Styela clava: one gene and its partner. The protein of the gene in region 2 interacts with the protein of the main gene of each other region in a pairwise test. Links are inferred from orthologs where the notes say so. Each region holds a gene or a part of one and is shown on either strand. Other genes may lie near its edges.

Region 1 (9,541 bases), on a different chromosome or scaffold from region 2:
ATCAGTCATGTCGTGCGTTGTTTTAATTAGAGTTGTGCTCCCCTTTGTTTCAAGTTCTGTTTCCCTGTTTCGTATATCAGTACAACACAAGCATAATGAAATTATAAACCTGTACAGCAAATAGTACCAAATCCATGAGAACTATCAGCTGTGAACTATATAGAATTCTGCATATAATAATAGAAACGTGTCTCAAATTGTATTTAAGACTATGTTATATGCCCTTGTGCTTATTTAGTTTTACTTTGATATTTAGTATGATGTTTCAACTCTTATTCTATTTGTAGTTAATATGCTTATAGTGAATTAATTGCTATCTATATACTGTTTCACTTAATATTTTGCAGTATGTCATGACATTATTCAGATTTTAGTAGGTTTTGCCTTTTTAAGATCAGAAGTGGGGCTTGGATTTTTTTGCCTGAACTGCAAATGTTAGCATTATGTGCTTATGGAATGATATTGACTGACATCTGTATCTAATTGATTTTATTGCTATATTCATTCGTGCGGTTTTTGTGTACTTTTCATGCTGCATTACTTTAATAAAATGGCGGAACATATATACTGAGGTAATTATTTGTGGGACATTTTTATTAATTCACGATTAATCTTTCAAATGCCAACTGTTACGTAACACTGGCCTTACGAATTATTAGACAAACGTCTTTGGTGAACAAATATCTTGGCTGGCACCAATCGCAAGTATAGGCTGAGTATCAGCGCATTCCCATTGGGCCCAAATCCCAGTTATAGAACTAGCAAACAAGTTTCTGACAAGTCGAGAATTTGTAATTTGCTACAATGCACTTCATCTAATGGCATACAGATGGACAAGACCAGTGGACTTGCCTGTAGTACGCCTTGATGAAAGTGGTTGCCTGACACTGACTGCTATTAAGTAATCTAGCATTATGCAACATGTTATAGAATCTTGGGTAAAAACCTACAACAGCGTGGAGGACATTGCAAAAAACTAATTTTTTTTCTTGCCTGCTCATTTGCTGAACTAATCTCATAATGGAACCAATCAAGCACTGCGTATAAGTTTCACAATAACAAAACTATCTGTACAGATTTACATTTGGAACATTTACGAAAGAGCTATGGATAACAAATTCAACAGCAGAAAGCAAACATGATGGCATATAAAGTAAAAAGAAATGGTAAATTGTCTCTTGTTTCTGAGGTTCAATATGTTCATTGATGTACACATTCTGGAAATTGAATGTATTCTCCTGGATTTTAAATGAGGAATACAGTGTCATCCGTATACATCACTTGATTGCTGTCTTGCATTTGTGAAAGACAGGTGTCAACATCGTCCTTGGAAAACTCCTGACTATCCTTGTTGACCCATTCAACAATGGCAGCTGTGGGCAGGCTTTGTGTGTGTTCAACTTCAAATTTGGCAAAAAGTGACTTCTTGAATTTATTCATCTTCTGTTCATCAATAGCAGTTGTGGAACGCTCACTGTCTTCCATTGAAACATCAACAGTTGACTGTTGTTGCGAAGGACGACCCACAGCACTGACATCAGGTGTGTCTTCTTCGGCCGAATCAAAATTATATGGGTCATTTGGATCTCCAGTGGTTTCATTCCCATCCCCACGCTTTCTCCTCTTGCGGACTGAGGTATTTTGACTTTCAATGACTTCATCTTCACTGTCGCTATCGTGAGTCTTTCTTCGCCTCTTCTTTTCTTTTTCCATCACTTTATGAAAATAAGCATATTGCACAAGCTCAATAGCAGAATGAGCATCTTTCAAAGTTACTTTCTTGGACAAACGTGCTTTGGCATGCGCAGTTGAAAGACGAATTAAAGTTTCAAGAGTACGAGCAGTGACTGGTGTGGTTCTGGCTACATCACTATTCTCTTGATCTTGACATCTGAGTTTGGTGTATTCTTCTGCAATACATTCCGCAGCCTCTCTTGTCAAAGTAGGCTTTATAATTTTTGCCACATGAACATATCTCTTCATAAAGGCAATACTCACCATTTTAGATTTTTTGCCAGATCCACGATGCAGCAATTTATTATGTTTTTCATATACTGGCGTTTCTTGATCTTTGTTCTGTTCGCAGTCTGGATCATCTGTGGACAAAATATCTGCACCAATCGATATTGGCATTGGGTCGCCATCTTGTTCATTTGTTGCACGATATTGATGCATTCTAAGCACATGATCTGATATTCTTTGATCATTTTCTGGGTCCATTTGATCAAGAACGATAAAAAGCAAGTCAAATCTAGACAATAAAGAATCCTGCATTCCAATGTTATCCATAGGAGTCTTATACTGGTCATATCTACCATAAACAGGATTCGCTGCAGCTAACACGCTACATCGAGCATTTAACTTTGCATGAATGCCAGCTTTTGCCACAGTGACTCTTCCTTGTTCCATTACTTCATGAATTGCGGTACGATCTATGTCACTCATTTTATCGAATTCATCAATACATACAACTCCACGATCAGCTAATACCATAGCACCAGCTTCAAGTCTGCGTTCTCCAGTTTCTTCATCTGAAGTCACTGCAGCAGTTAATCCAACACCAGTTGTTCCTCGACCAGTAGTTGTTATAGCTCGTGGTGCTGTATGCAAAATATATCTCAACATTTGTGATTTGGCTGTGCTTGGATCACCTATCAGCAAAACATTTATATCACCACGAAGTCTTGTTCCATTTGGCAAAATCTTTTCTGTACCGCCAAGTAACATACAGAGCACAGCTTTTTTGATATATTCATTGCCATGAATAGAGGGAGCTAAAGAATGGGCAAGAATTTCAAATGGGTCAGCACCTTTTTGGTTTGCAAATTTCCTTATTTTAACAACGTCATCGGTTGAGAACATTGGTATAACCTCTTTGCTAAGAGGTTTTACATGATTTGCAATCAAGATAGTTCTGAAAACACCAGAAGTATGGCCTTGTTTTTTACCAGGTAGACATCTAAATATTCCAAGGACTTGGACACGATCACCAGGCTTACAGAGATCAACTAAATCATTGTCAACAACAATATCCACCGATCGAGGAAGTTGTCCCGCTGGAGCTTTTTCAGGCATCTCTTGCACAGTCAAGGTCTGGTGATCTTTGTAAACTGATAATCCAAACTCGGTTTCTAATGGATTATTTTCTTCGTCTTTAGTTGGGTACACAGAACTTGATACAAAAGGTGTTGTAGAGGTCATATCAGTGTATCTTCTTTCTAAAGTCTTCTTAGTAGCGGGGCAATAATGAACACTACGAACAACTTTTGGTCTAACAAGTGAGCACTTCGTAACAATGCCTTCAAGGCATATCATGCTACCAAGATACAATGCTGTTAGGGTACGAGGAGTTACATGCTTTGACCCAAAACTTCCCTCAAATCCAACAAAAAACTCCTCGTGTTGCTTTGCATATTCAGTGTTGATGGAAGCAACATAATTTTTCAGAGCACGTTGAAAAGCACCATGCTCATCAAAACCATTATCCAAAAGCTTTTTAGCTCGCACATTATTTCGTCGCCGGAGATCGTTTATGTTAACAACAATTCGGGATCTTCCCTTCTCAATCATTTCTCTAACCAACGCAGAATACACACCTTGGTCTGTGACTTCATCATCAAGAAAATCCAAATATTGGCGTTCAGCTTCCCGTAATTCCTCATCAATGTCCACATCCATCATATTGACTATATTTAATCCAAAAAATACCCCCGCAGAAACAAAACGGCAAAAACGAACGAAGAGTTTGCAAGACTTCCAGGATCAGATCACGTGTCCATGTTTCGCGGGGTTTCAGAATAAGGAAACAAAGTGGACTTCTAATCGCTGATGCGTGTTATTGCAGCAAACCAGCGACAGCGGTGGGTCCTTGACTCCCTTGTTTCGATATGTTAGTCGTTGGTTTCTAAATTGCGTTCGTTTTGATGTAAAATTAAAATATTATATTAATGATTGATTACTATATATGAATTGTATACTGATTAAGACGGTGTTTCTCAATTTTTCCACTTGCAGCCTGATGCTCAGGCTGCCTACCGAATCACTTCAGTCGCATTAGTATTTATTTACGCTTTAGATGTCATAAAAAATATTACCGGTAGGTTAGATTTGATGAATCATCTGATCGTACATCGTCTATATCTGGTCTCTGCCTTCATTATCTTTGAACCCACGTACATTTGCACCCAGGACAATTACACGTACCTGCATACTTTTGCACCCACAGATTTTCGAACTCATGAACAATTGCACCCATACATTTGCACCCGCATACAGATTGCACTCTTGAACATTTGCATCCATGGACATTTGCACTCTCGGACATTTCAACCAGTGTACATCTGCACCCACAGACATTTGCACACATGGACATTTGCACTCACGGACATTTGCATCCGGTAGATTTGCACCCGCGGGCATTTGCACCTGCGCACATTTGAACCCGCAATACATTTGCACCCACGCACAACTGCACTCGCGTACATTTGCACCCACGGATATTCGCTTCATCCTACTTAATTTTGCACTAGTAAACATATACACCCTTTGGATACCACACTTTTAAGACAAAGAGGTTATATTGCCATTTGCGCCGAAATAGCGAATGAATAGTGATGAAGACGAATTCACCACCACAAACCCGAACGCAATTTGGATTTTCATCCATTAACACAGATCGGGGAAAACAACCCGCATCGGTGTGGACACCATTATGACGCGGCGCGGCGGTGTGGCTCAACGGGCTAAGCGTTAGGAATATGCTAGCCACCGCACCTCTAATTACTCTGCGTGGGTTCGCAGGTTCGAATCCCATGCAGGGATGGTTATGTGCGAGAGGATTGCTGGACTCCTCGCCGTCGTTGGGTGGTTCACGTAACCGCTGGTCGGTTACGGCTTCCTCTACCACCAAGTCCATGCTACCGAAAACAAACAATATAACTAATCCCATAACCGACTTGGAATGGTAACCGAACGGGAGGCCGTGGTTCGCCATATGAATAAGCCGTCTTATCGGCTTTCCTCTCCCCCGTGATAAATATGTATATATTATCCTTATCCTTATGACGCAACAATTCAAAGAGTAGAAAGTGCTTTAAACCAGTGTTCTTCAACCTTTTTTATTTTTTTTAATGTGGTATACCTTACAAATACCAATTTTCATTTAAGGCCTAAATAAACATAAAATTTCAAGCACATATTTTACTGCAATCTCATCATGCAATGGACCTTTCCCCGAGCATCGACTTCCTTGTTTACTTCGTGACATTGGCCAATCAGCAAGATGCAAAAAGTGACGTAACAATGCCCCCTTTTCGCATCCGCTCAGACACTTTTCTCACTCAGACAGATTTTCAAGCGTGGTCTTAAACATTATCTCGTTTTTGTGTTTTTGAACTCTATTCGTTAGTTTTCAGTTGTGTTTCGGAAACTTAAATAAAAATCAGTTAATTTAATGATCACTCTTGATCAAGTTATAAATTTGACTGACGGCCTCAGCGTCAACGGGAATAATGTTCAACATAAATCAAACGAAGTGCATGGCAGCCGAAATCACCAACCCAGACACGTGACCGCATTATCTATATAATTCGTGATGTAACAATGTGCTCAGGTCGGTTCTTCGCCCTGATCTAGGCTGCACACCCTTCGTTTACCCTTTATCAGTTGTATACCCAACTTATAGCCCGGTATACACTTTGGTATACCGTATAACCGGTTGAAGGGCACTGCTGTAAACAACTTGTTGCAAAATCCTGCTTTTGTCGAGTCGAAGTCGTTTCTCTGGTGATATGTTGCGATTTTGTTTTTCTGTTAATATTGATTGATTAAATTTGTATAATTTTTTTGTCATTCCCTCTTCAGCCCACAGGTGTCGCTGACTCGATGACTGTCACAGTCTTTCGCGATTCCTTATCTATTGCTATGAATCTCTCACTTGTATGAATTCTTATGTGTATAATTACATTTTTTACTTTTGTCATTATACACGTTTGTCGATTTTACGTGAACATTGTATGTGTACCAGGCTAGGATTCAGGATGTGCGTCATCTTGGTACGAATACTTGAAATCCGCTTAGAAAAAATTGCTCAACATTATATACTCCACACCCACCTGGGTATCATTATTTATGTCATCGACATTATTTCTAAACAATAAAAAAAAAACTTCATGTCTCAAAACAATGTTAGGGCCCGATTCTTCCGGACTGTGAATGCAGATGTGCATAAGTGCAAATATCCATGGGTGCAAATGTTCATGGGTGCAAATGTCTGTGGGAGCAAATGTACATGAGTGCAAATGTCTGTGGGTGCCAATATCCACGGGTGCAAATGTACGTGGGTGCAAATGTCCGCGACTTCAAATAAAACATTAAAACAACTCATTGTATAATCTGTTTACAAATTTTAATCAGTTCTTGCAATGTTCAGGGTGCAAATGTTCATGGGTGCAAATGTTCACGAGTGCAAATGTAGGCCTACATAGGTGCAAATATTTGTGGGTGCAAATTTCCATGGATGCAAATGTACGTGAGTGCAAATGTCCGCGGCTTCAAATGTCCAGGGTGCAAATGTCATGGGTGAAAATGTACATGAATGCAAATGTTTGTGGATGCAAATGTTTATGGGTGCAAATGTACATGGGTGCAAATTTCCGCGAGTGCAGATGTACAGGGGTCAAATGTCCGCTGGTGCGTAAATCTATGAATGAAAATGTATGGGTTCAAGTGTCGGTGGGTGCAAATGTCCTAGGGGTTTACGAGTGCATATGTACGTGGGTTCAAATGGGCTGTCATCCTGGTCTCTACCTTAGTATGCACAAAAGTAGGTATAAAAAACGACAACTTGGTTAACACTACCATACACGAGATATAGGGTGTGGTTTGCCTTATGACAATACACAATAACTTCATTGCGTCAGGCAAGACTCATAAAGAGCGTTCGAGCATGAATTATTAAACATAAATATTAACACGATTATCATGCAACACTGCTTAGCGCTTACTATCAAACGAGTTTACTCGCTACCAAACATAACCCCGAGTCGGAAATTTGAAGTTAGGTATATGTTTAGCAATATTATTTAGCAATTCAAATATGATTTCCAAATGCGAATTCTTGTCAATGTTCATGGCCAGCATGAAAATTCGGAATAAACAACAGGGTAATATTCTTTCGGCTGGATTCGGAAACTCCCCGTTCAGCAGTAGACTTTTTGACTGTTCATTGCAATCTCTAGTAACCAACCACCTCTAGTGAGCGATGTTACGGTAGTTGGATAACACCGTCAAAAACAGTAGGTTCCCGATTCTAAATTCCAATTAGAAATTTAACCTTGGTTTTTGCTGCTCGGTGACCAGTTTTGGTCCCCACGACTTCCCTTTCCCAGTAGAACTGTTTAATTAACTTAATTAACTTGACTTGGAAAAATAGCCTATTATACGATACATAACTTGGTCTTTTTCAGAACCTATATGTTGCGCTAATATATATGAAAGTATCAAAGTAACGCAATTTTGAAAAAAACAATGTTTGAACACTGCACCTAAAATTCATTTAACATAGTCAACAATTCAAAGATTTCATGCAAAACATTACATATTTAGAACGGAAACGCATCAAAATTCAACAATTCTGGCATTTGAAATAACAGTACCATTTCGATAGTGGAAGAGGACATCAACCGTTACATGTTGATGGTAACAAATTCTACAGTTCTGTCTTTTAACTGTGGTTGTTAGATCGAGAGACCCAAGAGTTTTTTTTTTTTTCAGCAAATAAACTTATATTGAAATAAACGATATTGGTAATACAGTTATAAAATTGATCACAATGTTTGCAATCGCAGTCTAATTATGTTATAAGAAAACTGAAAAAATCCCAAGGACAATCATTTAGCAAATAGAATATTGAAATAAACAGTTTTTAAATCAGCAATATAGTTATAAAAGATAATTTTTCACAATGTTTGTAATTGTAGTCTAATAATGTTATAAGAAAACAGGAAAATGTCACATTTTATGTATATACTATATAAGGACAATCAATCGGCAAAAATGGAAAGAAAAACAGTAACATGTAATTTAATAGCAAAAAATCACTTTATTGACTATTATATAAATAAATGCCATTTTCTTTTGTGTATCAGGATTTGATCATTTTTCATTGCTATATTTTTCTCGTTGTCACGAACATCACGAATAAATTTATAAAAAACATCAAAAAATGGTTTTCGTTTCTGGATCCGGCATCTATATATAAAAAAGCAGGCAGCCAATAATACACAATTGATAAATTGTATTTCAAGAATGTCATCAAATCCCATGAAACATTCTTTGTTGGAAGAGAGACCCAAGACTGGTTATTCATGCAAACGGCAACTCGACACTTGAAATAACCGAAGCAGCAGACATAACCAAAATGCGCTATTCCCCAGTCCAATGAACGGCGAAATAAGCGAGAGACATATTTTCCTTCGCACATTGCGTGGGTTATCGGAGTCTCATAATACAAATTCGAATGTTACTACAGTACTCAGGCCCTGCAAAATGGCATCAGCATAATAGTATATTATAAACGATATATATATAAACAACATAAACACGGGCATTGTGGTCCTTGAAACAAGTTGTCTTTAAAAAATTGAAGTCTGAAATTCCGGTGTTTCGCGAGCACTTTATGATATATATAAAACGTATTCCACAAATCCCAAAGAGTTAAAAATCACTGCATTCGTGAATGTCAATTTACCCTCATCAATATCATATAGAATACAACACATGACATTATGATTTGATAAAGGGTAGCCTTCTTTGTCAATATGACTCTCACTGACTAAAACAAGACCAGGAATGAATCTATTATTGATTCAGTTATTTAGTAAGGATGCTCTGAAGTTTATCAAGATCTATTGGTAAGTTGGCATCGGTGAACAGGGGCTGCCGCCTAATTGATATGTGAGGACTGGACTGGCGTGGAATCAGTTACTTGGAATGTCAATATTTTTTCATATTCGAATAAGGGAAATACCCGTAAGTTTACACTTTACCTAACCGGATAGTCACTGTCAATTGTTAGTTAGAGAATCGATTCAAAAAGATATGTGCAATGAAAGGATTGAAAAAATTCCGAAACACTTTTTACGTTTTTAGAGTTGGACCCACTATTTATAGTCCGGCAGATAAGGGGCCCTTTTTGGCCCAAGTTTTATTTCAGACATAAAGTTTTCTCATTTCAAATCATTTATACATGGGTGTGGAGTTTGCAGCCTTGAGCAATTTTTTTACGGCTCGATATTTGTATTAGTGTTTTTTGTCAAACCTGTGCATCATAATGACGCACAACCTGAACCATAACCTGTTACAATACTATGTTCAGGCTGTGCGCAATCTTGGTGCACAAACTATACAGTATACAGCGACCCATATACAGTATATGGAAATACTGTCGAAACATACGCGTAAAATAAAGAGTACTATTTCAAAATACCCGTTTTTGTTGGAATTAACAATACAAGCCTGCTAATGCAGTCGCCAGTGGTTC
Region 2 (9,936 bases):
CAGTAGGACACAAATTTGCGTCCAATGTCCGCAGAACGTTTAATGACGTCATAGCAAACAAAAACAAATCTCACAGAGCTAACAGAAATATTTAAAATGAATAAAAGTAATAGCCTTCTGAGGAAAAATTTTATCTTCAACCACTGAAAATTTCAAAGCAATTGGTCCAGTATTCGAAGAGAAAAACGATTTTTTTAAAAATGATGGAGACAAATAACAATAACAACAAAATTTTGAAACGTTCGTTATGTCCACTACGTGTCCAATGAAATACGAAAATTGGCCTGCAATATCGATTATGAAGCACATGTTTTCGGATAAATTTATGCACAGCTACTATCTCTGTCTTTAGAATATTGCCCATTTGACATATACCACACACAATTAAGATGAGTCAATTCAAAAAAACTATTCACCAACCTGTTTAATAACAACATATTGTTGGCGTCAATTTCTATTCCAAAATGTTGACAAAAGATGCCAACTTCCTTCATATCATTGAAACTAAGAATTTTCATAAAATCATCAGCAGGGAAAAGAACAGTCCTTTTATTAGATTGTACGACAAATGCTTTACATATTGTCGAAGCAGCTTGTTTTCGGACTTGCATGAAGTATCGATGAAGAATGCAGCCCTGAAAAATGTACAAGTATTAGAAATATACTACAATATTTTTTATTTCTATTGTAAAAAATGAAGGTTATTTACTTATTTTTTCCACATTGTTTTGATTCTATTCATGTAAATCTTCTTTATAAATGAAGGTAGACTTGGAATGTCCGAATCTACAGGTAATCCAATATTTTATAGTCAAAATTAACTGTAATTCATTAGTGGTGCAATAGTTATTTTATTAGGTGTATGTTTTTTTCTCAAGCCAATATGCATGACCATACCAAATTGAAAATTTATCATAACATGGAAAAGATTCAGCTAAAATCCTGAGGCGAAAAACTTTACTGACTAACCTGCATAAAAGTAGCTCGTCTGACAACTTTGAAAAATTTGGCGTAATTGTTGCTGTGCACTGCCATAAATGCTTGTACGGCAAATCCAACATCTGACGAATACCTCACTTCAGGAGGTAGTTCCTGTAACTCATTCAGTACATCTGCTGTTTTGTTGATATTTAGTAAGATATAATATCCATACATTTCTGCTACATTTGAATTATCCAATGGTACTGCAGCTTGACCTTGAGCAGGCGAGAAATATACATCGTGATAAAGATCCATGATAGTTTTCATTGTCTTTTCTAAATTTTCGTTATTTATTTTCGGATCAAATACCATTCTATCTTCTTCACACAAATGATGAGCACAAAAAATGTGAAACCGCGCACATTCCTCGTTGATGTGTACTGCAGTTACATCACTGAATTGTTGTATTGTAAGTTCTTTTCTTATAGCCCGAGTGCGATTCCAAACAAAGTCGAACCAGTCTGCGACCTGCCCTTCATTTAATTTTGGCATCATGTTCAAAAGAATATAATGCATTGTCATTTGCAGAACACTCGCAGGTCGTAGTTCATGAGGTAAAGGTTCTTCCTGGTCTGCAGAAGATCGACTGTATTCTTTGACAGCTTTGTAATGACATACTAGTCCACCTTCCATTTCATAAGCAGACAGAAGTTTTCTCTGTTGTCTCAAGTACCTAAAAAAGTATGATATGGCAATAACTGTCTCCAAATTTTGTGGGCGTACTGGCCTTGTGATTAAAGTGTTAGATGGCATAGCAGGTTAAAACCTTGGGTTCAAATCCCATTTCAACCACCTCACCCAGCTAGATACGCATGAACGCATAAAAAAAAATTGTTAAAAGAATCATTGAGCTTGCGGCTTAGGCACTTTACTTAATGATAATTCAATGAACAAATATTACACCATTATTGTCTATTCATAAGCATCACGCAGAGAAAAAATTCAAAATTTTATAAGATACTGTTTTGTTCTATCCAGATAACGTTAAGCACCCTAATAAACGATGATGATTTTCAAATTATCGCAACATTTTGTCCTGCATCTCTGATTCAAATATTGAGGTAATTTATTTCGTTTTGAGTTAAAGTATATTATGATGAGTGAATAGTTTTTATGCAATCCCATTTGTAAATAAATCTTGCATTAATAAACAATACATTTAAATTTCTGACATACCTTTCCTTTTCTGGGCACATGTCCGGGCAAGTTCCTATGCTTGTCTTTGCTTTTTTGATGTCTGATTGTCGAACAACCTTTTTCCTGAGCAAATTATCAATCTTCTCCAATATCCCAAGTTTTTCTTCATCAGTATTAGCAAAAATCTGAGCAAACACTCGATTTTTTGGTGGAAATCGAGCAGAGTTTCCTTGTTGAGTTGCTACTCTTGCGAGTGTTTTGTGACCACTTTGATAAGTAACTTTCAAGTTTTGAGATTCACTTAACTGCGTAGGAGATTTGTCTACAGATTTTCTTGCTCTTTTCGAAAAGAATATTTTCATTGGAGAATCTGATTGTTGGACATGAGCCCCTTCAGTTTTAGCTGCAGCAGCCTCTTCGTGAGTTTTGAATACTACAGTTGCAGTGTTTTTTTCTGCATTAATATTAATACGAAGGATTTGACCAAATTTTTCAAAATGATTCCTGAGCAGATCTCTGTTATCAATTAAATCAGGGGGAACGTTGTGGCAAATGATAGCGCTAGACTGTAATGCTGCGCTCTGATCTATAAGGTTAGAGGATGATGATGATCGCCTTGCTCGAGCTCTACTAAATTGAGGTTGTGCAATTGCTCTTCCACTTAGGTTATCTTGCCTCGTTATGTCTGGTTCATCACCTCTTTGTTTTGCCAGTTTTTTCTTATATCCAACAAGCATTTGATGAAATGCCGGGTTCTGCGATATCTGCATTGTACGTTTTTTTCTTGACGCCTCTACAACTTCAACATGGCTTTCTGGACTGGATTTAAGTGATTCTTGTGTGGTGTCTTGATCATAGGAACGCTTTCTTTGTATATTTCCTTGCAAATAGGAAGCTGTAGGCGCTTCTCCAAATCTTGCACGTCCATATGTTTTCTTGATCTGAGGTTTTGAAATACCAGTATTACTTGTTTCCGCTGTATTTCCAACCTCTTCAATGTGTGATCTTCTTTTTCCATAAATTGATGGTTGCACTGGGAGTCGACCAATAACTGACTGTCGTGGATTCGCTTGGAGCTTGTTATCAGAAAGTGACTGCGATGTCCCAAATATACCTGTAGAATGCGATTTTTCAGCTGTTGTTTGGGAGTCGCTCAAAAATGAAGACGGTTTTGAAATAGTGCCGAAGATATTGGAACTTCCTAATGATGACGTTTGTGTACGATTAGATCCGAACAGAGAAGATGCAGTGTTGTTAGTCTTATTTTGTTGGAAAAGGGTAAAAGAGTGTGATGTGGTCGCCACTGTTTGCTCTTGACTGGTATGTGTATGACTGAATGAAGAGCCAGATTTACCAAAAACTGAAGAAGTTGATTTCACATCTCCAAATAAAGAGGAAACAGAAGGATCTCGTTTTTCAGTGACGGCAGCTTGCTGGAACGGTTTTTCACTATCATTCGTAGTTCCAAATTGGCCAAATACAGACCCGACGCTTGTTTGTTGTCGGGGTGAGGTCCCAAATAAAGAAGGAGTGTTTCCAACCACATTTCCTTGACTGCTCTGCACACCAAAATTGCTTCCAAATGTAGATGAACTACTTGTATTGCTTAATCTTCCACTTTGCTCTGTGCTGAACAGAGAACTTGATTGAAGACTACCTAAACCAGTAGATGTACCAGCATTGGATGATTCCCCACTTTGTTTAAAAGCACCAAATACACTAGGCTGTGTTGGTGCTAATGGTGAAGAAAATAAACCAGATCCTGGAGGTACAGGAGGAATATCTTGCACCTGATTCTTGTTCATCCAATTGCCAAATGACATTTTTACTAATTTAATAATTCAATAAGCATAATAGCTGTCTGAAAAAAAATAACCATAAATGCACATAAAAATGTGAAAAAACATTTAGTATTTTATCAATGACAAGCATTATTATCTTGTATGACAAGATCTCTGTCAATATTCCAATGACAATTTATTTTGAAGACTCCCTTTTATACAAATAAAAATAGAGACTCTAGTTGAGTAGGCAAAACCTCAAATGAAGCTTATATTATGAAAAATTTTGGTACTCAAGCATCACCCAACAACATTTAATAAAGGCAAGCATACATATGAAAGATAGCAATAGAAAAAAAAAATGAATATCTACAAGTTACACTTGTACTTCTTTAATAATGTCATGGATAACAATCAAATTACTCAAGTTGATTCAAAGTTTTTGCAATGTGTAGTATGTGAATTTCTTGCCCTGCTTATGAATTCTAATCAAATTTTTTTTTCTAAAAGATGGAATGCCAACAGCTTCAACTGAATATTCTAAGCTTTTAAAACAAGCTTGTTAAGAAAATGTGACATAATACATTAGTCATATAAGTAATAGCCCAACAACCCACATTATAAAAGCATATCCAAGAAAAAGAAAACGTTATGAAAAAAAAAGCATTCAAGATAGTGACTAAAATCTGAAATTATTCCACAATCTATGTTTCAATAAAATAGTAAACATTATTAACACAGATAAAGACTAATCTCCTTAAACCACAATATATCTAAAAAAAATGATTTTTCAACAATAAATTTTATCATAGTATAAATTTCATCATGTCAACAAAAACACAGGTGCAAAATCAAATCTAAAAGTAACCGCTATACAAACAGCATAATAAGAAATTCAAAAATAGGACATAAGCTTCTGAATAACGTAATAATAGGAGAATATTGTCAAATATCATAGTTATACACAGTTGACATGGCACATATTATAGCTATAGCTTGACTATAAAAATATGGTGAACGGCGTTCTAAAACTGACATATTCATTCATTGCACACATATTTCACAACTTTAAAAGTTGTTTAATCAAAGTTGAAATACAATATTCAACTGTATTATCTATTCGAATGACTACATCTATAGGTGTATTGCAAAGAAATATGATTCAAAAAAGTTGAATGCAAGACTGCAAATTAAAACACATACCGAATGATTAAACCCTTTCAGTACAAAGACAATATTCTAAACCAGTCGTTCTCAACTTCCACTTTGATAATCTAAATTACCACTCAGTAGGGAAAAACAGCATCATCATTCATTGCTGCACCAATCAAAATTACCGGTAATTGATTATCTATCAATAAGCAATTTTTAATAAGTTTGTGTCCCATTTGAAAATGTTGAGGACCGGCGGTCTAAACTCATACAAACCGACAATTTTTATCATATTCCCCTCGTGGAAGAAACAAGAATGTTCATAAGATTATGGCACGATATTCTAAAATCCCCGACTTCAAGTTCTAAATGAATGTTCTCACTTTCCAGCGAAAATAACAAAACGGAGTAACTCTAAAAACAGAACCTATAAATTTCTAAATTACTTCTACAAAAATTTGTTCAACACTTCTGTTTTTAAAAATTATTGTAACCAAAGGACACGTAACACGTTGCACAAATGGTAATGTAACTCTAGAACAGTAGTTCTCAAACAATAGGGCGTGCCTATTAAGGGGGGCATACCGGTAGACAATTTTTTGAGGAGGCGTGAAGCTAATTAACAATAAAAATATTTGTTAGATTTGATCTTGCCCACCTTTTTGGGTATTTACATTTCATTATTTACGTTCCATCCACATATTTCTAACGTTTTTTTTGAATAAAACATACTTTCGCCTTGCTATCTGTTGTTTGTAGCTTATGGATAGATAGTTATTTTTATGGTGGAGTGCGAGACAAATTCTAAAAAGGGGGCGCGGCTTAAAATATTTGAGAACCACTGCTTTATAATATATTCCAAACTGCCGTGGTTTTTACCTTGTGTATGCTAAATCTGACTTATAAAATTGAGCTTTTATTGTGTAATCACACATTCTAATAAACAGGGATTTTGATTCGAAGCATCCCCAAAATATATCTCCTGTAAACCATTGTAGAATGGGTTCATTCAATCAGTCAATATCACAGTATACCACAACAGTATCTGGTAGCTTATCCTGGTCTATGTCATCACCAACAGACAATTTAGGTTTTGACTTCAAATCATGTGCAGCAGAGTTGATGAGTGTTTCGGATTCTAGATCTTTCTTTTTCTTAGTATTTGTTTTGAAAACTTCAGATCTGTTATCCATGTCTGAATGTGAGTGAGTACTAAATCCAAATATTTTTGTGCCATCAATATTAGTGGTGATGGAGCCTCTACATTTTAATGCTTTTCTTCTTGAACATTCCCACCGTATCGTAGAAAGTTTACCACATTTCTTAGTGTAAGTATAACCACGTACTAACAATTTTATACCACCTTTGCCACTTGCAATAGATTCAATTTTAGAGTCAGTAAAAATTGATTGTGCAATAACAGGGCAAGACATAAAGCCACTATGGCCAGATAAAGTGTGTGGATGGCAGTGGGCATAACAACTTAAAACTCTTCTGCATTCAATATCAGTTGATATAGATCCTTTACATTGTGAGTTTTTTCGCAGAGCGCATGACCAATGTAATATCCCTTTGATTAAACTGCTTTTCGAATAACTATAACCATCATGTGATAAAATACTATCGCCATTATCGTCATCAAAAAGATTTAATGAGGATTCACAAACAACACATTCGGAGTGAAAAGTAATATCAGCATTGGCAAGTGATATTTGAACTTTTTTTGGTGGACTGTTCAGTACCTTATTCAAACACTTAGTGATTATTTTATTTCCATTTGTTGAATTGGAAGACTTTTCTAGCATTACATCTGAGCTGTCTTCATCAGTTTTTAAAGTGGTATTAGATTTAGGTGATAAATCTATGCGGCAAGTTTTTGATTTTTTGAATTTTGAAGTGTTTCTTTCAATTTCATCAACCAAATCCTTTAAAGTATCTTTCTCTTTACTACTATTAACCTTTCGTTTACGTTTTTGTGTTACTTTTTCAGATGATGTTGGAATAATATCATCATAAATATGCTCTGTTGGAGGATGTGTATGAACATTGAAAGAGAGTATCGATTGTCCTTTTATATTTGTATTCACAGTTCCATTACATGAAAAACCTCTTCTACCAGAACATTCCCAACGTATATAATTAGTTTTTGCACATTTCTTGGTGTATGTATATCCAGCGAATACTAATTTTTGTCCGCCCTGTCTCGTTTTTGCAAATTTTATCTCTGCATCATACATATAAGAAAACGATGCCACTGGGCATGATTTTGTGGTAATTGATGATATTCTTTCATGACAATGGGTACTACCACCCCTGACTTTTGTATGTGCTACATTCGTTAATAGAGCGCCTTTGCAATTAAATACAGTTTGAACTTGGCATACCCAGTGTACGTTATCTCCTTTCACAAAAAGTTTTGTGTATAAATAACCATCATATGTTAATATGGTGTCTCCATCTTTCTCTGTCAGTTTTATTGCATTTTCACATAAGTGACATATAGTATGGAAATCGGACTTTGTGTGTACCATTTTCGAGTGAGTTGTCTTAATTTCCTCCCTTTTATTCTTATCCGTAGTTTTTACATTTTTTAGCTTGATTCGGAGAGGAGTAGAAGACCGGGTTGGCTTCAATTCAACTTTTTGGTTGCCATCGGAAATCAAAAAATTTTGCTGCTCATGTGAAGAACCTTTATCATAATTTTCCTCTTTACCAACTGTTTTACATAATTCCCCACTACTGCAGTCATTTATTGAAATATCACTATTAGAAGAAATCGAAGTCTCAACAGTATTGTCTTTAGACAGAATTTTTTGTCCTTCTGATAATTTTTCTTGCTCAATATGATCAGGAGTTTCCATGTCCATAATATTGTCAATGTCATCAGATACCTCTTTCATAGTTGAACCAGAATGGGTGCCATGATCTTTATTTTCATTATTATTAGTAAGATCAGATGACAGAATTTCGAGATGTTTTCCGTTAGACTCATTCGAAGAATCTTCTGCTTTTCTTTTACTTTTATGATTGATATTCATATTCAAAGGACTGGGAAATGTAACAAGATTATGTGGCTCTGTCATTGGCAATGGCTTTGTAGAAGACTCCGATTGAGCTGTTGCTGAAGTGTCAGAAGATGTTTGAGATGAACTATCAAAGCCCAGATTGCAATTTTGTGTAGACATTGATGAAATTTGTTGTGCACTAAGAGTAGATTCTGAGTGAATTTTCGTAGTGAGAAGAAAACTTTGAGATTGCAGAAAAACCATGCCAAGCTATTTTATTCCAGACATTATTATTACTACATTATTCACACTACACTATTTAGACCAAAAGTAATTTATATTTTTATTCAGCTCATGGATGAATAAGCAAGTATTGCAGAAATAACTCTCAAAAATACCACTAAACTGTTAAGTTTGTATCTGAGGCTTCAGAGCAAGGATAAATTGTGTGGGGAATTAGTCTAAGAAGTTTGCGGTAGGAAAACTCGTCGCAGAAATTTCGCCTAATCAGGAAAATCGCTGGAAGAGCATTTTGTGAAAAAAAAGGGTCTGTGATAAAAACAATTAATAACAACTTTTTGTTTCATATAAACATTAGGGTTAGGATTACGATTCTTTCTTTATGTTCTTAATTATTATTACCGTACATCCATGTATGCTCTTAAATAACGATTTTTTTTTATAAATAAAAAGGTACTTCAAAAACCTGTTTTATCACAAATACTTGTTTTACAGCAAAATGCTCTTGCGGCGATTTTTCCCATTAGGCGAAATTTCCTTCGGCGACATTTCCTAGGGCAAACTTATTTACGGCGAATTTTCCTAGAACCAGGATAAATATACCATCTCATAGATGCTTGAAAAAGTTAGCCTCAGGAAACTGAGCCCTATAAACAAAACACTATGCAAGAATGCTTAGCAGGTGCAACTTAACAATGCAGGCACCCAATTCTGTCCAATACAAGAGTAATTTAACACACCAATATAAAAGATAGGTTAACCGAATCTAATAAAATAGAAAACTTATGATTAGATAGAGGCAGTTGTTTGAATAAATCAATAAAGTTTTGTACGCAATGGCATATAATGAAAAAAAAAAGAATGTAAGTGGTTGAAAAAGTGTAATAGAGAGTGTTACCAAATGAATAATATACCTCCAGACATGAATTCACAATTAATCATTCATTCCAAGGCATACTTTAAAAAATTAATGGCTCATAATAATGAAAAATATCAAATGAATCAGATAATGACAGAAAAAAATTCAAAATTCATAAGATGAAAGTTGAAAAATAGCAGCATGACTTAAAGAAGATCATAAGTTTTACGTACTACATCAGAAAGTTAATACTAAATAGAAATTCAAAATATTGCAGCTATAGTTATAGCACATGAGCTCTCAATTTTAACAATAGTTAAAATGTTTCATATTTCACCGAAGGCTACACTACACAAGCAACTTATTCCACACATCCATGATCACCAAAGCATGATTGACGTCATTTATATATGACAATTCCAGAGTTGGGACTGACGTTACACAACAAAACTTTCAAATAATTCAGACCTTTCATAATGATAATAAATGAATTTCAATCAAGAATCCGAATTCCGAGTGTGCCTACTTTACGCAGATAAATGCTCCGCATGTTTGAATAGCAACCATACTTGCAAAATCCTGACACAAAGCCTTTCATTGAGGCTGTCAAAAAAATAAAACAAGGTAATAATGTGTTCTCAAAATGATTTAAAAAACAAAAAAACATCAGAAAAGTATTATACACCAAAAATTAATAAGGTTTATGGCGAGTCGTAGTTATTTTTCGATTTTCCTCAAACTTAGCCCATTTTGCTTCAAATTTCTCCCATTGTTTGACAAC

What was found.
Region 1: the proteins of germinal-center associated nuclear protein-like (region 2) and DNA replication licensing factor MCM3-like interact in a two-hybrid assay, tested with the Homo sapiens proteins (2 studies listed by BioGRID). The link is inferred for Styela clava from reciprocal best matches to the Homo sapiens genes MCM3AP and MCM3.

The regions. Positions count from the first base shown.
Region 1 is NC_135257.1:13,039,192-13,048,732, forward strand, and holds DNA replication licensing factor MCM3-like, read right to left. Parts: upstream 3,808-9,541; 5' UTR 3,682-3,807; coding exon 1,246-3,681; 3' UTR 1,045-1,245; downstream 1-1,044. UniProt on the Homo sapiens protein: Acts as a component of the MCM2-7 complex (MCM complex) which is the replicative helicase essential for 'once per cell cycle' DNA replication initiation and elongation in eukaryotic cells.
Region 2 is NC_135260.1:9,574,673-9,584,608, forward strand, and holds the start of germinal-center associated nuclear protein-like, read right to left. Parts: upstream 3,985-9,936; 5' UTR 3,942-3,984; coding exon 2,158-3,941; intron 1,655-2,157; coding exon 970-1,654; intron 636-969; coding exon 421-635; intron 1-420.